Arabidopsis thaliana: one gene and its partner. The protein of the gene in region 1 interacts with the protein of each later gene in a pairwise test. Each region holds a gene or a part of one and is shown in the gene's direction. Other genes may lie near its edges.

The links. The genes of interacting proteins can lie anywhere in the genome.
Region 2: the proteins of AT1G61150 (region 1) and AT4G09340 interact in a two-hybrid assay, tested with the Arabidopsis thaliana proteins (one large-scale study listed by BioGRID).

The regions. Positions count from the first base shown.
Region 1 is NC_003070.9:22,539,097-22,547,403, forward strand, and holds AT1G61150 (LisH and RanBPM domains containing protein), read left to right. Parts: upstream 1-3,400; 5' UTR 3,401-3,577; exon of another isoform or gene 3,578-3,766; 5' UTR 3,767-3,831; coding exon 3,832-3,885; intron 3,886-4,010; coding exon 4,011-4,170; exon of another isoform or gene 4,171-4,207; coding exon of another isoform or gene 4,208-4,271; coding exon 4,272-4,378; intron 4,379-4,477; coding exon 4,478-4,609; intron 4,610-4,740; coding exon 4,741-4,897; intron 4,898-5,137; coding exon 5,138-5,259; 3' UTR 5,260-5,922; coding exon of another isoform or gene 5,923-6,457; 3' UTR 6,458-6,565; downstream 6,566-8,307. Other genes in the region: EDA16 (SNF2 domain-containing protein / helicase domain-containing protein / zinc finger protein-like protein), read right to left, coding at 1-569, 681-944, 1,052-1,121, 1,368-1,514; AT1G61160 (retrotransposon gag), read right to left, coding at 5,923-6,457, 7,096-7,124.
Region 2 is NC_003075.7:5,922,502-5,930,137, reverse strand, and holds AT4G09340 (SPla/RYanodine receptor (SPRY) domain-containing protein), read left to right. Parts: upstream 1-2,399; 5' UTR 2,400-2,540; coding exon 2,541-2,869; intron 2,870-3,093; coding exon 3,094-3,240; intron 3,241-3,315; coding exon 3,316-3,402; intron 3,403-3,495; coding exon 3,496-3,541; intron 3,542-3,899; coding exon 3,900-3,976; intron 3,977-4,093; coding exon 4,094-4,250; intron 4,251-4,338; coding exon 4,339-4,407; intron 4,408-4,491; coding exon 4,492-4,551; intron 4,552-4,644; coding exon 4,645-4,731; intron 4,732-4,838; coding exon 4,839-5,123; 3' UTR 5,124-5,536; downstream 5,537-7,636. Other genes in the region: NDPK1 (nucleoside diphosphate kinase), read right to left, coding at 5,772-6,121, 6,435-6,483, 6,604-6,654.

The DNA.
Region 1 (8,307 bases):
AACTGAACTGTAGACAACTTTCTCTGATTCAGCCTCTGGTTTAACCTTCACATGAACAGTTTTATTATCCTGAAAACTGCATGAATAATTATTAGGCCGGTCAAGGTCACTATCAGCTAAATGACTGTCAAAACTGTTGTAGGGTTTGACACAGGCAGGAGAAACTGAAGGATTACTTTCAAACTTGAAACTGATCCCTCTTGCACTAGAAAAATCAATAGGAGGTTTCCTTTCTAAAGATCCATTATCCACTCTTCCATGTCTATCAAAAATCATCCGGCTGGCACCATCCGACTGAGACTCACTTACTCCACTCTCAACATCATTTACAGCTTCTTCTTTATTAGGAAAGAACTCAAACGCGAAATTCTGAACAGAATTGGGGGTATGGTCTGACAAGGATGTACCACTTGTATTGTAGCAATCTTGTGCAGAAGAGACATAGTTATCCGCACTGTCACTGAGGGAATTGGAATTATTAAAAAAAACAGACATGGCAGACGAATTATGATTGGCTCCCAACCCCACTCCGTATCCAGTCACGTTGTCAAAATATGGAGTCAACATAGCTGCAATTTGATGTAACAAAAAATGAGGAATATGGAAATTAGCAACAGATAGATTAGTGTCAAACTTTTAAAAAAAAAAATAACCTGACATTTAGTAGATAAGGTGCATACATTTGGAATCGATTATCTTATCATCCTGCTTGGAAACAGTGTCAACGTCACAATTCACAGGATTGAAGGCCATCATATTGCCATCAGGATCAGAGAAACTAGACGATATACTACAACTAGTCATCTCAGATTGAGATACTCCACATGTTTCCACAGGCTGCTCACCCTGACTTAACGAAAACCAATCTTTAAGACTTGCAGAGCAAGTATGAGCAGGTGAAGGACTCAGCCCGGCTTCCATTTTCACATGTTCATCAAATGAACCTGGCACAACAAAAAAAATCCAAGCGATGTTAATACGATGTACCTCAAACAGCTCAATAAATACTAAATGACTATGTAACAAGGCACCCTTTCCAACAACTACTAACCATTTAGCAACTGTGAATCCTTGAGCTCGTCAGCAGATGAACCAACTGGTGATAAGTTTTCTTGGCTACCCTAAAAGTAGTCACTCTCAATGTTAGTTTCTTCTCTATCGAAAAAAATAGTCAATTAGAGATTAGTGTAGCTACAGAATTGTGAAATCACACATACATAAACTTTATAACAAAATACAAATCCAAACATCTTTGTAGCAGCATTCAAATAATGCAATGAAATTCAGCTAAATCAAAACGATGAAATTGAAGTTAGAGAAGCGTGTAATCAAAATTCTCAAGCTACCACAAAAGCCGAGAAAACTACCTCAGCAGAATCAGGCTTCTCATCTAGAATCCGATAAAGCGTTTCGATGTCAATAGTCTCGTCATCATCTTCAAACTCAAAACCACCATCACAATCATCAACCGGAAATTCACCTCCCAGACCAAACATTGAACCTTCCTCACCCATCAAAAATCACAAAAAAAAAAAAAAAAAACTAACCCGAGAAAGAACGAGAAGAGGAACAAACCCTAAATCAGAAAACCCAAAAGTCACGGAATTTCAGCTCCCGGGAAACCCAAATCGAAATTCAGAAGTAGACGCGTAGATCCAGAGATTGTAGAATTTTCAGGTACGACGAAGAAGAAGGCTTGAGAATTGGGTTTTGAAGGAATTTTCGAGGAAAGGTAGAGAGCAGTTGGGATAGAGAAAATAAAAATCGCGACTTTTTGTAGCGACGGTGGCTTCTTTTTATTGCCTTGTTCTCTCTTTTGGCTTTCTCCGAATTGGAAAAAGTAAACACCACAAGGCTATGGGACTTCCGGCTTTAAATAAGGAACGGTCGAACATTTGTTTTTCTTTTTCTTTCATTTTTTTCCATTTTTTCATTATTTAATAATGCATGATTATATATAATTATATTTTATGCGCCGTCATCTTTATTGTTAAAGCAAAATCACAATTTAAACAAAAGGAAACAACTTTAATTAGTAGTAGGAAACTGAAGTGTTTAAGTAATGGAGATTTTTTTGAAGTGTTTGCTAATCATAATTTATTGTAAAAATTATTTTTAATTGTGTGAAAATTAGATTTTCTACACTAACAAAAAAATTTCATATGTTAAAGAAAACAAATATGAAACTAAATCACAAAGATCAATTGGAATTAGACATGTGGATCGACTCATTAGAAAAATAATCATCTCAATCAATAAGAAGAGATAAAACATATATTTGACTAAATGATCTTACCAATCTTGTGGTCATAAAATTCTACAAAGCACTATATTGCTAATTTCTACAAAGCACATTTGTAATCTTCTGAATCATTTGTTAGCCCTAAAAGAAGACTAGTATTATACGAGATCACCATTTTTATGATTGATCAAATATCTTGTAGAGCGCAAAACTTTGTAGGTAGTTTGATGAGAAAGAGCTTGCTTATTATGTGATCAACAATTCCGTTCTTGCCATGTCTCAAAGTAGTTGCTTGCCATATTAATTGATATGAAGAGCCTTTGATTTTGCAGAGATAGGAATTGCCAAAAGAAACCATATGAGGATTGACTCGAGAAGTTTTAGTGTAACTTCTTCACTAAGTCCTTCCAAACCAGTTGGGAAAAATAATATTAAAGAATAAGTGGTCCATTGATTCTTAGTCGGTCAACTAGCTAGAAGACCTCAAATTCTGCAATCGATCCTTTGTCTTATTGTGGTTCCACACAAACAACCATGTGCAAAGAACAAAACATGTTTTGGGACTTTAGTTTGAAGATGCAATTAAACATATTGTTAGATTGTTGACCAAGAAAAAACATATTGTTGAGATTGAAAGATATATTTTGCATCGGACTGCAAAATGTTTATGTCACATATTTGTTACCTAATAGTTGATTTTAATAGAGTATAATAGAGTATCAGTTATTGGTTTTAAATTGTGTATCAAATTCCAAATAATATAGAGATTTTTAACATCAGTCTTATTTAATTATGATTTTAACCAAGTGTCGTTAGCTCAATTGGTAAAGACCTTATGCAAAGCTTAGAGGTCGCCGGTTCGAGTGACGCTTGGGACGAAACTAATATTTTATGCTGTGGTTTCAGGCCTGGGGGATTACGGACTTTGACCCACAACCTCCAAGATTTAAAAAAAAAAATAAAAAAAAATTATGATTTTAAATCGAAATTTTGTTCTTCAAAGGTAAAATAGTTTAAAAATCTTTGGGTATTAAAATCATTTGGAAATGAGTTACATAATACTATCCGGTATATAAAGAACCAAATCCAAAAACAAACCGGTTCCCTTAATAATTTAAACCGGATTATTCATCGACGGTTCGTCAACATCCTAATAATTTAAACCCGATCTCTTCTTCTCTATCGAAAACCTCCAACTTTTTTTTGTTTTATCAGATTGTAAATTTAGGGAAGAGACTTTCGCAAGCAATCTAGAAGCAAATCGATCGCCAAATCTCCGGATTATTTGCAAGAATCGTTCCCAGATAATCTTCCCCAGATTCTCCACTTCTCCAGGTACATCGTTATATTCAATTTTTGAGGAAAATAGTCGCACACTCTCTCTTTCTTAGAACTACCACTCCTGTGCTGTTTTGAGATTAAAGCTTGAATTTTGACTAAAGCCCTAAATTACTTTGTATCACTATCTGATCACAAAGTCAATTTCTTTTGGAAATAGCTCTGATCGGAGTGTTGCTCGAACAGGTATTAATTTCGTATTGAGTGGATTAGATTAGATTTCAAGATATGAGAGCCTCACTGGCGTTCTAATGTCACTGTTTCGTATTTTTATCAATCAGCTTGAAGAAGACGACGAAGATATGGTAATTTTGACTCCTCTTATGAGTCTGTTCTTTGTGTTATTTGATACAACTTGATGATGGGTTTTTGGAAAACTTTAATCTTTATGCACGTTGTGTGACCTAGTTTTAATCGTGGCTTGTCGCAGGCTACTTCGAAGAAAATGATCACACGTGAAGAATGGGAGAAGAAACTAAATGCTGTGAAGCTTAGGAAAGAAGATATGAATACTTTGGTGATGAATTTTCTTGTGACTGAAGGATATGTTGAAGCTGCTGAGAAATTCCAAAGGGAGTCTGGAACCAAACGTATCCTTTTTCTGATTCTGGTTTTGAGTTTTTGTTTATGGAATTGGTGTGTTTGATGTTTAGCTTATCTACTCCTTTTGAACTTCCTTATCGAGAAACAGCAGAGATAGATCTTGCGACCATTACTGATCGAATGGCTGTTAAAAAGGCTGTTCAAAACGGAAATGTCGAGGATGCGATTGAAAAAGTTAATGATTTGAATCCTGAGGTACAATGCTTCTTCATATCTTGTGTGGAGAGTAGTCATTCACTTTTCTGATGTAATAAAGAAGCAAAATCTGATTCTTCTTTGAACCCATGCTTGCAGATACTAGACACGAATCCGGAGCTCTTTTTTCATCTTCAGCAGCAAAGGTTGATAGAATTAATTCGACAAGGGAAGACAGAAGAGGCCTTAGAGTTTGCTCAGGAGGAACTTGCACCACGTGGCGAAGAAAACGTAAGTCTTTGTATTTCACTTTGATTTCTGTCGTTAAAGATGGTGTTTTCCATGTGTATTGCTCATTGACTGTGTGTAATATCTGTTGTTGCTGAAACTTCATTCATACAGTCTGTTATATCTCTCTGCAGCAAGCGTTTCTGGAAGAATTGGAAAAAACTGTAGCCCTACTTGTTTTTGACGATGCCTCTACCTGCCCGGTTAAAGAGCTTCTTGATCTTTCCCACCGTCTTAAGACAGCAAGTGAAGTAAATGCAGCGATTCTTACAAGCCAGAGCCACGAAAAAGGTAGCTTTTGAATTTTGATGTTATACTGGTTGTCTTTTAGTAGCCACAAAATACCATTATAATCTCGAGCATCATTCATTATCAATCTTAAGATTCAAAGTATATGCAACTCTTCTCTACATAACAAGTAAAATTTTTCATTCATTACTTCACCCACAACATGTATCATCCAAGTTCTTCTTGAAACTTTCCATTTTCCTCCATGGTTAATGTAGCAACTCAATGTTTGTGAACAAACAGATCCTAAACTTCCAAGCTTGTTGAAGATGTTGATTTGGGCTCAAACTCAACTGGACGAGAAAGCAGTGTATCCGCACATTAATGATTTGTCTACCGGTAAGCTCGAAGACCCGTCAGAATGATTCCGTACTTCTTTCAGCCATTGGAAATCAGTAGCAAAAAGGAACAATGAATGGTGCTCTCTTCTCTTCCCGTCAATCTCAATAACTTACAATTCATATGCTTTCTGCTTTTCCTTTTCTTCTGCATCGGGATTTGTTGGACCCGCAATCGTTAGGATATGGGGAGGGGAACATAAGCTTTTGTAGGCAATGAATTACTCTAGTCAAATGTTCTTATTATCAACATATTTGATGACTCATTGCATACGTGCATTTGATTTGAATGAAGTTATCGACTTTGTTTGGATCTTTGTGTTTGTTTTGAGGAATATTTTTGTTCCAAAAGGTTCGAATTGTAAACAAGAGAGATGGCTTATTCATCCCATGTATAGTTACATGAATCAATGAATCAACTTGGCACGGTTCCTACTTACCTAGAAAGCAACATGACCTATTGAATTGAGTGCTGTTACCGTCGAAATGGAGAATCTCTGCGAACCGTACTGAAACATCATTTGATTTTTCTTCTTCTTCGCAAAATATTATTTTGGTACTGACACAGCTTTGAATCTTGCATGACATGGTACGAAGTAAATAAAGGGAAGTAGTAATAGCAACTTTTTGATATATAAAATAGGAAACATAATCCACAAGACTCAAGACCTTATGTTGACTCTAGCCATCTCAATCTTGCATGATATGGTCTTCCGGATCATAGGATTTGGAGGGTTTGCTCTCCACCTCATCTTCGGATGCGGGTCGGCCCAAATTGCTTTGTCCGCAGTCAACATCTGCAAACTCCTCAGACACGAGCGGCACCTTTTCCTTGATGCTTCTAAGTTTGGCCTCTACCTTCTCAGCTTCATCAACTACATCTGACACATAATTAAGGATCCATCCGCAGTTCGCTGCACATACCCCTTCCTGCAACTCCTCGCGTAGCCCTTCCTGGAACAGACACGCCAGCTGCTCTTCCTCCAACTCTCTTCCGAGGTTCTTGACCTTCTTAAGGAACTCGTTATAATACTCACGCACTGTCTCTGTTCCTTGCTTCACCTCAAAGGCTTCCCAGCTCAAGGCAATGTTGACGTCAACCAGCTTAGACTCATCGAAGGCTCCGCGCTCAGAAGCTTCTCGGGGTGGCTGATCCTCCTCCCCAACTACCCCTGTGAGCTCAAAGTTTTTTGGTTCACCAGATGTCTTGATCGACCTGGTCTGCCTGCGGGTCAATAATTCATCGAGTTTTATACATTTAATAATTTGTTACAAAATATGAAAACAAGGATAGTTTTCAGTTAGAAAAACAATTTATTATCTTAGAAAATCATGACTATGCTAAATCTAATATATTTAAATAAAAAACTTTACATCAAAATTCTAACAAATTATCAAATATTATGGATTTGAGGGAGTATAAATTATCATTATAATTCAACAAAATTAAAACTGAATTTTGCGAAAACATAATTTATATGAAACTCGAGTATAAAAATGATGACTCGAAATGGATCAAATAGAATAAAGCAATCGTAATGTCGAATAGTGGAAAAGAGATTTATATCTTATTTTATTTTGTCTGAAAAAGATCTATCTTCACCTATTTTTATTGAACTTTAAATATTTTAAGCAAAAATAAAATTGATTCAATTTGATATAAAATGAGCAAAGACCTTTTGATCATGATCCTTTACAAGATTTTCATTTCATGCTTTATCATTACAGAAAAAAAAAATCTAACAAACTAATCTGAAAGCTAAAAGATTGAAAATAATATAGTTTCTTAATATATTTTATCAAAATCATTAATAGATATTGTGAAATAGATAATAGAAAATTGAGAATATCTAAGGAACTTACAAATTGATATTACTTCTTCCATTAGTCATTGTGGAGAATGAAGAAATAAAAAAAATGGGAAATGAAGCTCTTAAAGTGAGTCTAACCAAATGATGTACTTTTATTAACTCCCAAAATGGGATATCATTGATTTATGTTCTATAAATAAAAAATTAACCTGATTCATTTTTCTTATATAATAATTGATTAAGACATACGCTGGCAAAATTTTTTTTTTTTATGTCCGCTCGCAAATCAAAAAAATATGGAAATACAATAAATTTTAATTATAATAAATTAGCTTTTATTTTCTTTTCATAATTTCTAATAAATATCTCATATACCCAATTTACAGTATCGTATTTTGTATTAAATAAGTTTGAGTTAAAATTGAATCATTATGAAAATCTAATTAGAATATATATATATATATATATATATATATATATATATGTGTGTGTGTGTGTATGTATAGTACTGGTACATAATATTAATGTTTTGTAACAATTTCGGTTTCTAGTTTCTAAAATATGGTAAATTATCAAAATCGATTAATTATGATATTTTCACAATTATATTTTTCTAATATTGTAAATTTGTTCCCAAATTTTTTTTTTTTTAAAGTCCCAAAGATAGAAAGTTATTATTATAATTCCAAATTTAAAATAAATTTTAAATTTAATATGGAGATTGACTCTTGTAGTCTTTTGACTTGTTCATTAATATGTTCCCGAAATAGTTTTATATGGTATACAAAATTAAATAATTGTATAAAAGGTAAATCTAAATTTAAGTTACGTCAGATTTGATCTTTTATGTGATAGAGATGTGTTCCAAATAGTTCTTTTAATTGATTTGAACACTTTCTTTGGTACCAAAACAAGAAACATCATAGGGTTTGCGTACTCATTGGTATTAATGAAACTGACCCACACACATGTTTTTGGATCATCACTAATTTAACTGTCTCATAAGCTTTGTCACACACACACACACAGAGACTTATATAGTGATGCATTCATTGATATCATTCGGCATCATACCTGTTCTTTCATTCCATAAAGATAAAAAAAGGTAAAAGAGAAATGTGATTTTGTATTTGAGATTGATTTGTATGTAAGTATTTATGAGTGAGAGAAAATAGTGGATTCTATGCGTGTGGAGATAGTAGAAGAGGTCTCTACTCTACTATGTGTGCTTGCATTTCCTAGGAACACAAAATGGCCCACTGGC
Region 2 (7,636 bases), on another chromosome or scaffold:
TAGGGGGTGATTGACATTGGACTGTTAAGACTTTAAAAGCATTTGACAGTCCTTACAAGATTAATAATATTTTTAGACTTCAAGTTTCTTTTGTAAAATTCAAGATTAATAATATTTTTAAATATTTTTTTTCTCAAAAATCCATCAAAACTAAAAATTATTTATGATTCGATGATTTATTTTTGGTTTAGACCCTGAATGGATGCTGATTTTCGATTCAGTTTTTGGATTTAGATTTTAGTTTCTAGATTTTAGATTTTAGTTTTAGATTTTTGTTATTATATTTTTGTTTTAAAAACCCCAAAAAATTGGTTTTTAGTTTTTGAGAAAAATAACGTTGATGGAGTAAAAACTAGATTCCCTAAGTTTTAGGAAAACTATAAAATTAAAATCATGAATCAAAAACTACAACAAAATAGTTTTTCTAAATTGTAGGGAAACCAAAATTTTATAATCTTGATTGGTATAAAAATAAGTTTTTGAAAAACAAAATCTAAAAACTCTTACAAAATCTACAAAACATTCAAGGCCTTAGTCTATTGTATTCTATTTTGGTTTCAATGGATGCAATGAAAAAAGCACACTAAATCGCTAACAGACAAAACCACTTTATTTTTAGAGCGGACGATAAATCGCATGCGGATAAAAAAAATTCTACGTAAAAGTTATCTGTAGTTAGTACACCGCAAACTTTTTTTTTTTTTAATTCGCACTACTGCGGATTATAGTTTATGAATGATAAACAAAAGGGTGAATGAAATATCTATACATGGAAGAATATATAATTAAGGATCTACACATATCATTTAGTTATTTAGGTGGAAATTTTCTTGTAAATTAAATATGACATAATTGCCCCTATACAAACAAAGAATCAGTAGCCTTCTTCCGCGAGATATATTGTACCTATAAGAAAGAGACACAAAGCATTTAAGTCTTAGGTGTGTACCTATATATATATATATATATATATATATAGCTCCTTATCATTTTTTTGAAAAAAACAGTCGATAACAAAACTTTTACCATGGTTTTGAAAACAGGAAAGAAGATGTCGCTGATAACTTTGGATTATCGATAATTTTGAAAATATCATGATAATATACGAATTAGCAGGGTAAAAAAATGTTTACATATTACATTTGTTGATGGTGTATGAAGAAAGTAGAGTCGATAAAGTAAATGTTATCTGATAAAAAAGGAAAATGACTGCTAATCAAAAAATTAATGTGTTGCAGGGCGGTAAGTAAGCGACGAGGAAAAGTTTTTTTGACGGTTCAAGATGGAAGGATGAGACTGTTTTTGGACTAGGAGGGTTTGAACAGATGGTTTCACTTTTGTTATGAATTAGAGTTAGCACCTAATATAAATGTTACGTTAACTTTTTGTTAACGGCTAATATTTGTTTACATATAGTGATAATACCCTCATAAGTTTTGCATCAGAGTTACTACCTTATACAAACTGATATGTTAATACTTGGGTTATCGGCTAATATCATAAGTTCCTTGTGATTACAGATAGTTTCACTTTTGTTATGAATTAGAGTTAGCACCTAATACAACTGTTACGTTAACATTTTGTTAACGGCTAATACCTGTTTACATATAGTGATAATACCCTTAGAGGTATTAAAAATTTGAATTCATAAGTTTTGCATCAAAGTTACCACCTAATACAAACTGGTATGTTAATACTTGGATTACCGGCTAATATCATAAGTTTATGGTGATTTGAGATAGTTTCACTTTTGTTATGAATTAGAGTTAGCACCTAATACAAATGTTACATTAACTTTTATCTTTTGGACTGTGTTTTAATAAGGGAAAGAAGGGATACAACTTTCCATTTAGAAAGAGAAATGACGATGACGACTGGTTTCCCTAAAAATCAATAAATAAATAGCAAAAAAGAAAAAAGACTACATGCAAAGAATAATAATAATCTGACACAATATATTCATACAGTATAAAAAGATTTTCCTAGGGGTACATACGCAATTTCCACATGTACAATATTAGTCAAACAGTGATTTTTTTGGACACTTAAATAACAACTCTTCCAAGTATAGATTGTGCAATTTTCCTAAACAAAAAGCAGTCTAAACCGTTGATAGATTTGTCCGTCCTAACCGCGTAACCATTTGAACTCTTAGCTTTTTTTAATGTTAAGTTGTTGCCAATAAACCGACCGTAAATGAATCGAGATACTTGATTTGAAAAGTCGATCCAAAATCAAATCAAACAAAGAAAAATGGTTTAAAACCGAAATTTCTTTAAAAATTAAGGATATTGTAGATAAACATTCAATACCGAACCAAAATAAAACCATACTAAACCATCCATAATTTGGATACCAGTACTAAGAAACCAAATTTTTAAAAACCGAATAATTCAAATAAAAACCGAACCGAAATCACATGGTTTTGTAAGAGATCATTTGAAAAAAATAAAAAATATTCGCTCAACAATTTTGTTTCTCTATAATCAATCACCAATCAGCAAAATTCTAGGGTTTCAATTATCTTCTCTGCGATTTGAATGAACAAATCCAACTTCATTCACAAATTTCATCACTCTGCAAAACCACATACAATGGAAGATAACGAAGAAGAAGAAGAATCACCGACGGAGTTAAACACGATCACCGGTTTAAGCGGTTTTGTAGTTATCTCTCCCGATAAGCTATCTCTCAAATACACTGGCGTTTCTCAACACGGTCACGATGTCGGCGTTGTTCAAGCTAATAAACCTGCTCCGTGTAAACGTTTCGCTTATTACTTCGAGATTTATGTTAAAGATGCTGGTGTTAAAGGACGTGTCTCCATTGGTTTCACTACTAATAGTTTCAGAATCGCGAGACATCCTGGGTATGATATTGAGTTTTGTTTAGATTTGATTAGGTTCTTAAAGATCTCTTATTTTTGTTTAGTTGTTTTAAGTTTGATTAGGTTCAGGATTTGGTTCAATTGTGTGAGTTTTATTTATGTTTGGTTAGGATCAGAACATACGAAAGTGTTGGATTTTGTTTCTATATCATTGTTGCTGAGCATTCAAATTGATAGTTTTGTGATATTTCTTATGTAATGGTTAGATGGGAACTCAACACTTGTGGTTATCATGGTGAAGATGGGCTTATATATCTAGGAAAACGTCAAGGTGAAGCTTTTGGTCCGACTTATACAACTGGTGATACTGTTGGTGGTGGTATAAACTATGATTCGCAGGAATTCTTTTTCACGTGAGTATCTAAGAGTTCAAGAGTCAATTCATTTTCATGTTACAGTTCTGACATATCTTTGTTATGAGATGCCAGTGTAAATGGAACTCTGGTAGGGACAGTCTCCAAGTACATCAAGGGTCCTCTATTCCCTACTGTAGCTGTACATAGCCAAAACGAAGAGTATGCTCTCTTTGTTTCTTAATATGATGTCAGCGTGAACTATTTTTCAAGTGCTTGAATATGTTCTTTGTTTGATGTTCTGAATCTTGGTAGGGTTACAGTCAACTTCGGGCAGGAGAAGTTTGCCTTTGATTTTAAGGTAAGATCCTTGAATATTTTTGGTATACTAGTGGAGTTTCTAGCTCTTAGCTTGTGTAATTTATCGATGGGATAGTCCGAAGTATAACTATCGTATAGTAAAGAAACATATGCATCTTTTTGATATGGTACAAACATATAATGTGGCAGATGATTCACTGTAAAAAAATACAGTGATTAAACATCTTCTCTTAGACTCTACGATTAAGAATTGTATGTGTAATATGTGTAGAAAGTTGAGGTAGAGAGTAATATGTGTTTACTTGTGCTTCTCTTTCTGCCTTAGGTTTGTTTGAGGTTAAGGTTACAGGAGTGATTACGTATGATTTAGCTGTTCCTCTTTTTTTCTGTTGTGTTAGGGATATGAATCATCGGAGAGGAATAAGCAACAAATAGCAATCGAAAAGATATCCATACCATCGAACATGAGTCTTGGGTGAGTACACTCTTGTTCTGTAGTTACTGAGGTGAAGTTTTTTCTTCTATTCTTTTATTGCATTGGTAATAAAATTTCTGCGTAGCTAAGAAGCTTCTGGTTTTTTTTGATCATCAGGCTTGTAAAGAACTATTTGCTTCATTATGGGTATGAAGAGACTCATCATGCTTTAGACTTGGCTACTAACAGTACACTTCCTCCTATCAATGGAGCTCAAGAAAATGGTATTGATGATACATCATATGCATTGCATGAGAGAAAAATTCTTAGACAGGTATTGAATTAGACTGCTATCTTGCTCGTTACTACTACTACATCTCTTTCGTTAAGTATTGAACTGATCCATACGTCGGTTGGTAAAGCTTATACGGAAGGGTGAGATCGATGCTGCTCTTGCGAAACTCCGAGATAGCTATCCCCAACTTGTACAGGTGGATTGAGGAACTAATCATATCAGTTGATTCATATTGTTACATTGAAAATATGAACTCTTACCTCAATTGTATAATCTGCAGAACGATAAATCAGAAGTATGCTTCCTCCTTCACTGTCAAAAGTTCATTGAATTAGTACGGGTATGCTCTTCATTCCTTATATATTAATCAGATCCACTGCGGTTAGACTGACCTCTCTCTAAGTAAATAAATACTAAAATGTGACATACTTAGATTGGAGCACTAGAAGAGGCTGTGAAATATGGACGAATGGAATTAGCCAAATTCATTGGTTTAACTACATTCCAAGACATTTTAGAGGTAATGATGGTTCTGCAACCTTAAACTAGTGGTGGTGTTTTGGAATTTTTTTCAATATTTAGTGGTTTCAAAGACAAGAGATTCGAGCATCTTGTTATCTATTTCAGGACTGCTTTGCTTTGCTAGTGTACGAACGCCCCGAAGAATCGAATGTAGGGTATTTCCTAGAAGAGACTCAAAGGGAAGTAGTGGCAGACACAGTGAATGCTGCGATTTTATCTACAAAACCAAAGGGCAAAAATCAATCGCATTCTCATCTAGAGACACTTCTCCGACAACTAACAGCTTGCTGTCTGGAACTGCGGTCGCTTAACGATGGTCAAGGAGAAGCGTTCTCGCTTAACCGACTTCTTAGAACCAACAATTGGAAGAGGACAAAAAAGACTACTTAGCTGTGTCCATCTTTGGAAACAAACTTGGCTTTGATTGTTGACAGTGGCTGGGTTTGAACTGTTACAGGCAGCTACAATAAGCGGTCAAAATAGATGATTGAAACAGACGGGTTGGAGTTGAACCTGACCGTTGGATTCTTTTCTTCTCTAAAGTTTGAAGAACCAAAATTGTAAAATTTAGTTATTTAAATTTAGCTTGCCAATGTTCATCAGTAAGCTTGAAATTCAGTAGACAAATACTCAAAACTTTTCTTATCACTCTCTCCTAGTATGCCCCCTTCAAGTTGGTGTCAGCCTCAAACTTGGACAATGGCTTACTAGACAACTTAAGCTTGCCACTTTGTCGAACGTCGCAGTTTTCGAGAGCATCTAAGAGATTGACAACATTATGTGTTCATGAAACACAAGGTTACAAGAAGTATGATCTTGTGTTTACTAAATAGGTTTGATCTAACCATTGGTAAGAGTCAATTTTGGTTCAGTATCTGCAATAACTGATATATTTTATATCACCAGTTGGTAGCTGTTGTATTCATATGTAGCAAGCAAGCAAAGTAGAGAAGGATAATCAAACTCAACTTAAATATAGAAGTCTTGTTCAAAAGACAAGCAATGTCGAAAACACACTACTGAAAAAGCAACAGATCATCAAGTTTCATAGACCCAAGGGTGAACGCTGCTCTGCCAGTTGACAGGTCCATCAGGGAACCACAAAGCAATCTCCTTTCTTGCACTCTCGACAGAGTCACTACCATGGATCACGTTCCTGCCAATGTCAATAGCAAAGTCCCCACGGATAGTTCCAGGCTCAGAAGCTGCTGGGTTGGTAGCTCCAATGATCTTTCTTCCGGTCAAGACAACATTCTTTCCTTCCCAGATCATAGCAACAACAGGGCCGGATACAATGTAGTCAACGAGTCCACTGAAGAAAGACTTTGAAGATAAGTCTTCGTAGTGCTTCTCAGCAAAAGATCTCTCTACACTGATCAACTTCAGACCTGTATAAAATACAAATCTACACTGATCAGAAACACAAGACTAACACTCTTATCTACCAAATTACATAATACAAAAGGTCCAGATAATAACAAGTTCTTATGCACAGATACTATAATCTAAAATCTATTAGACAACACAGAATACTTGTCAAGTCAAACAAGTTTTACTAAACTATTAGTGTTCAGAAACTAGACCAAACCATAAGCAACTATAGTGTCATTACAATCTCAATTCAAGTAACAAAGTGACTTTAATTAGATCTAAGACCTCTAATTATAATGTAAAATCAAGTTTGGTAATCGAAATCATTACCTTTCAAAGTGAAACCCTTCTTCTCAAACCTGCAGATGACTTCACCGATCTGAAAGAAAAAAACACAAACATATCGATCTTTTAAGTATAAACAATCCAAAGAACTGAATACAAAACCAAAATCAGATCAAGATCAACAAGTATGTATTAAGAGAAAAGGGAAGCTTACGAGTCCTCTCTGGACGCCGTCAGGCTTGATCATAATAAAAGTTTGCTCCATTGTTTTCTTATTACTTGTGATTCGTAGGAGGCAAAAAAGATTTATATAGAGTCCGCACATGTAACCCTAATTCTGTTGAAGAATATTCTAACCCTAGAATATTTGCTACAAATTATTGGGCTTCCCTTATTATTATGTTAGGCCCAATTAAATAAAATATTGGGCTTCATAAAAAAAACACAAATAATATTTTTTTGCAACTTAATTATTTATGTCAAACAAACGTAGATTAATACTGTGATATTAAAAGTCGTTCGCAATATAACTCTTGCACGTGTATAGATTTTGCAAATCATATAAATCTGTACATGATTATTAAAATTACGTCGTTTTGAGCCTTCTTTTAACAAAAAAAACGGCTTTTACTTATTATTATTTTAAGGTTCAATTAGTTATAAAAATTGGATTTTGTGCCAAAAAATTCTCTAAGTAATTTTTTTTGTAACTCAATCATGTAAGTTAAATAAATGCAGGTCTGCGATCTCAAAAGTCACCTATAGTATATCTCTTAGACGTGTATAGATTTTGCAAACCGTATGTTTATATATAGGTTATTAAAACTACGTTGTTTTGAGCCTTTAAACAAAAACGCAAAATAATGTTGGAAAATAGATTTGAACGCATGGCATATTGAACTATTCAAAGATTACTTAACCAATTGAGCAGAGTGATTTTGTTAACTTTACAAACCGATTAATATATATAGTTTAAACATGAATCGAATACAACAATAACATTATTTCAGAATTGTAAACATAAAACTTGACAAACAGCGCGAGCGGTTACGATCGGATCAAACCCAAGTCTGAACACGCTCAATTCTTCCACCCACGCCTCGTCTCAGAGCTTTCCTCGATGAAGAATAGATTAATTGCGATGAGAATGAGCCCTTGCTTGCTCTACAAATTGTTGATGATGGCCAAAGATAATGAAATCAGTGGTGATAAACAAACTAGTTCACGTGAATAGAGATTTCGGATTG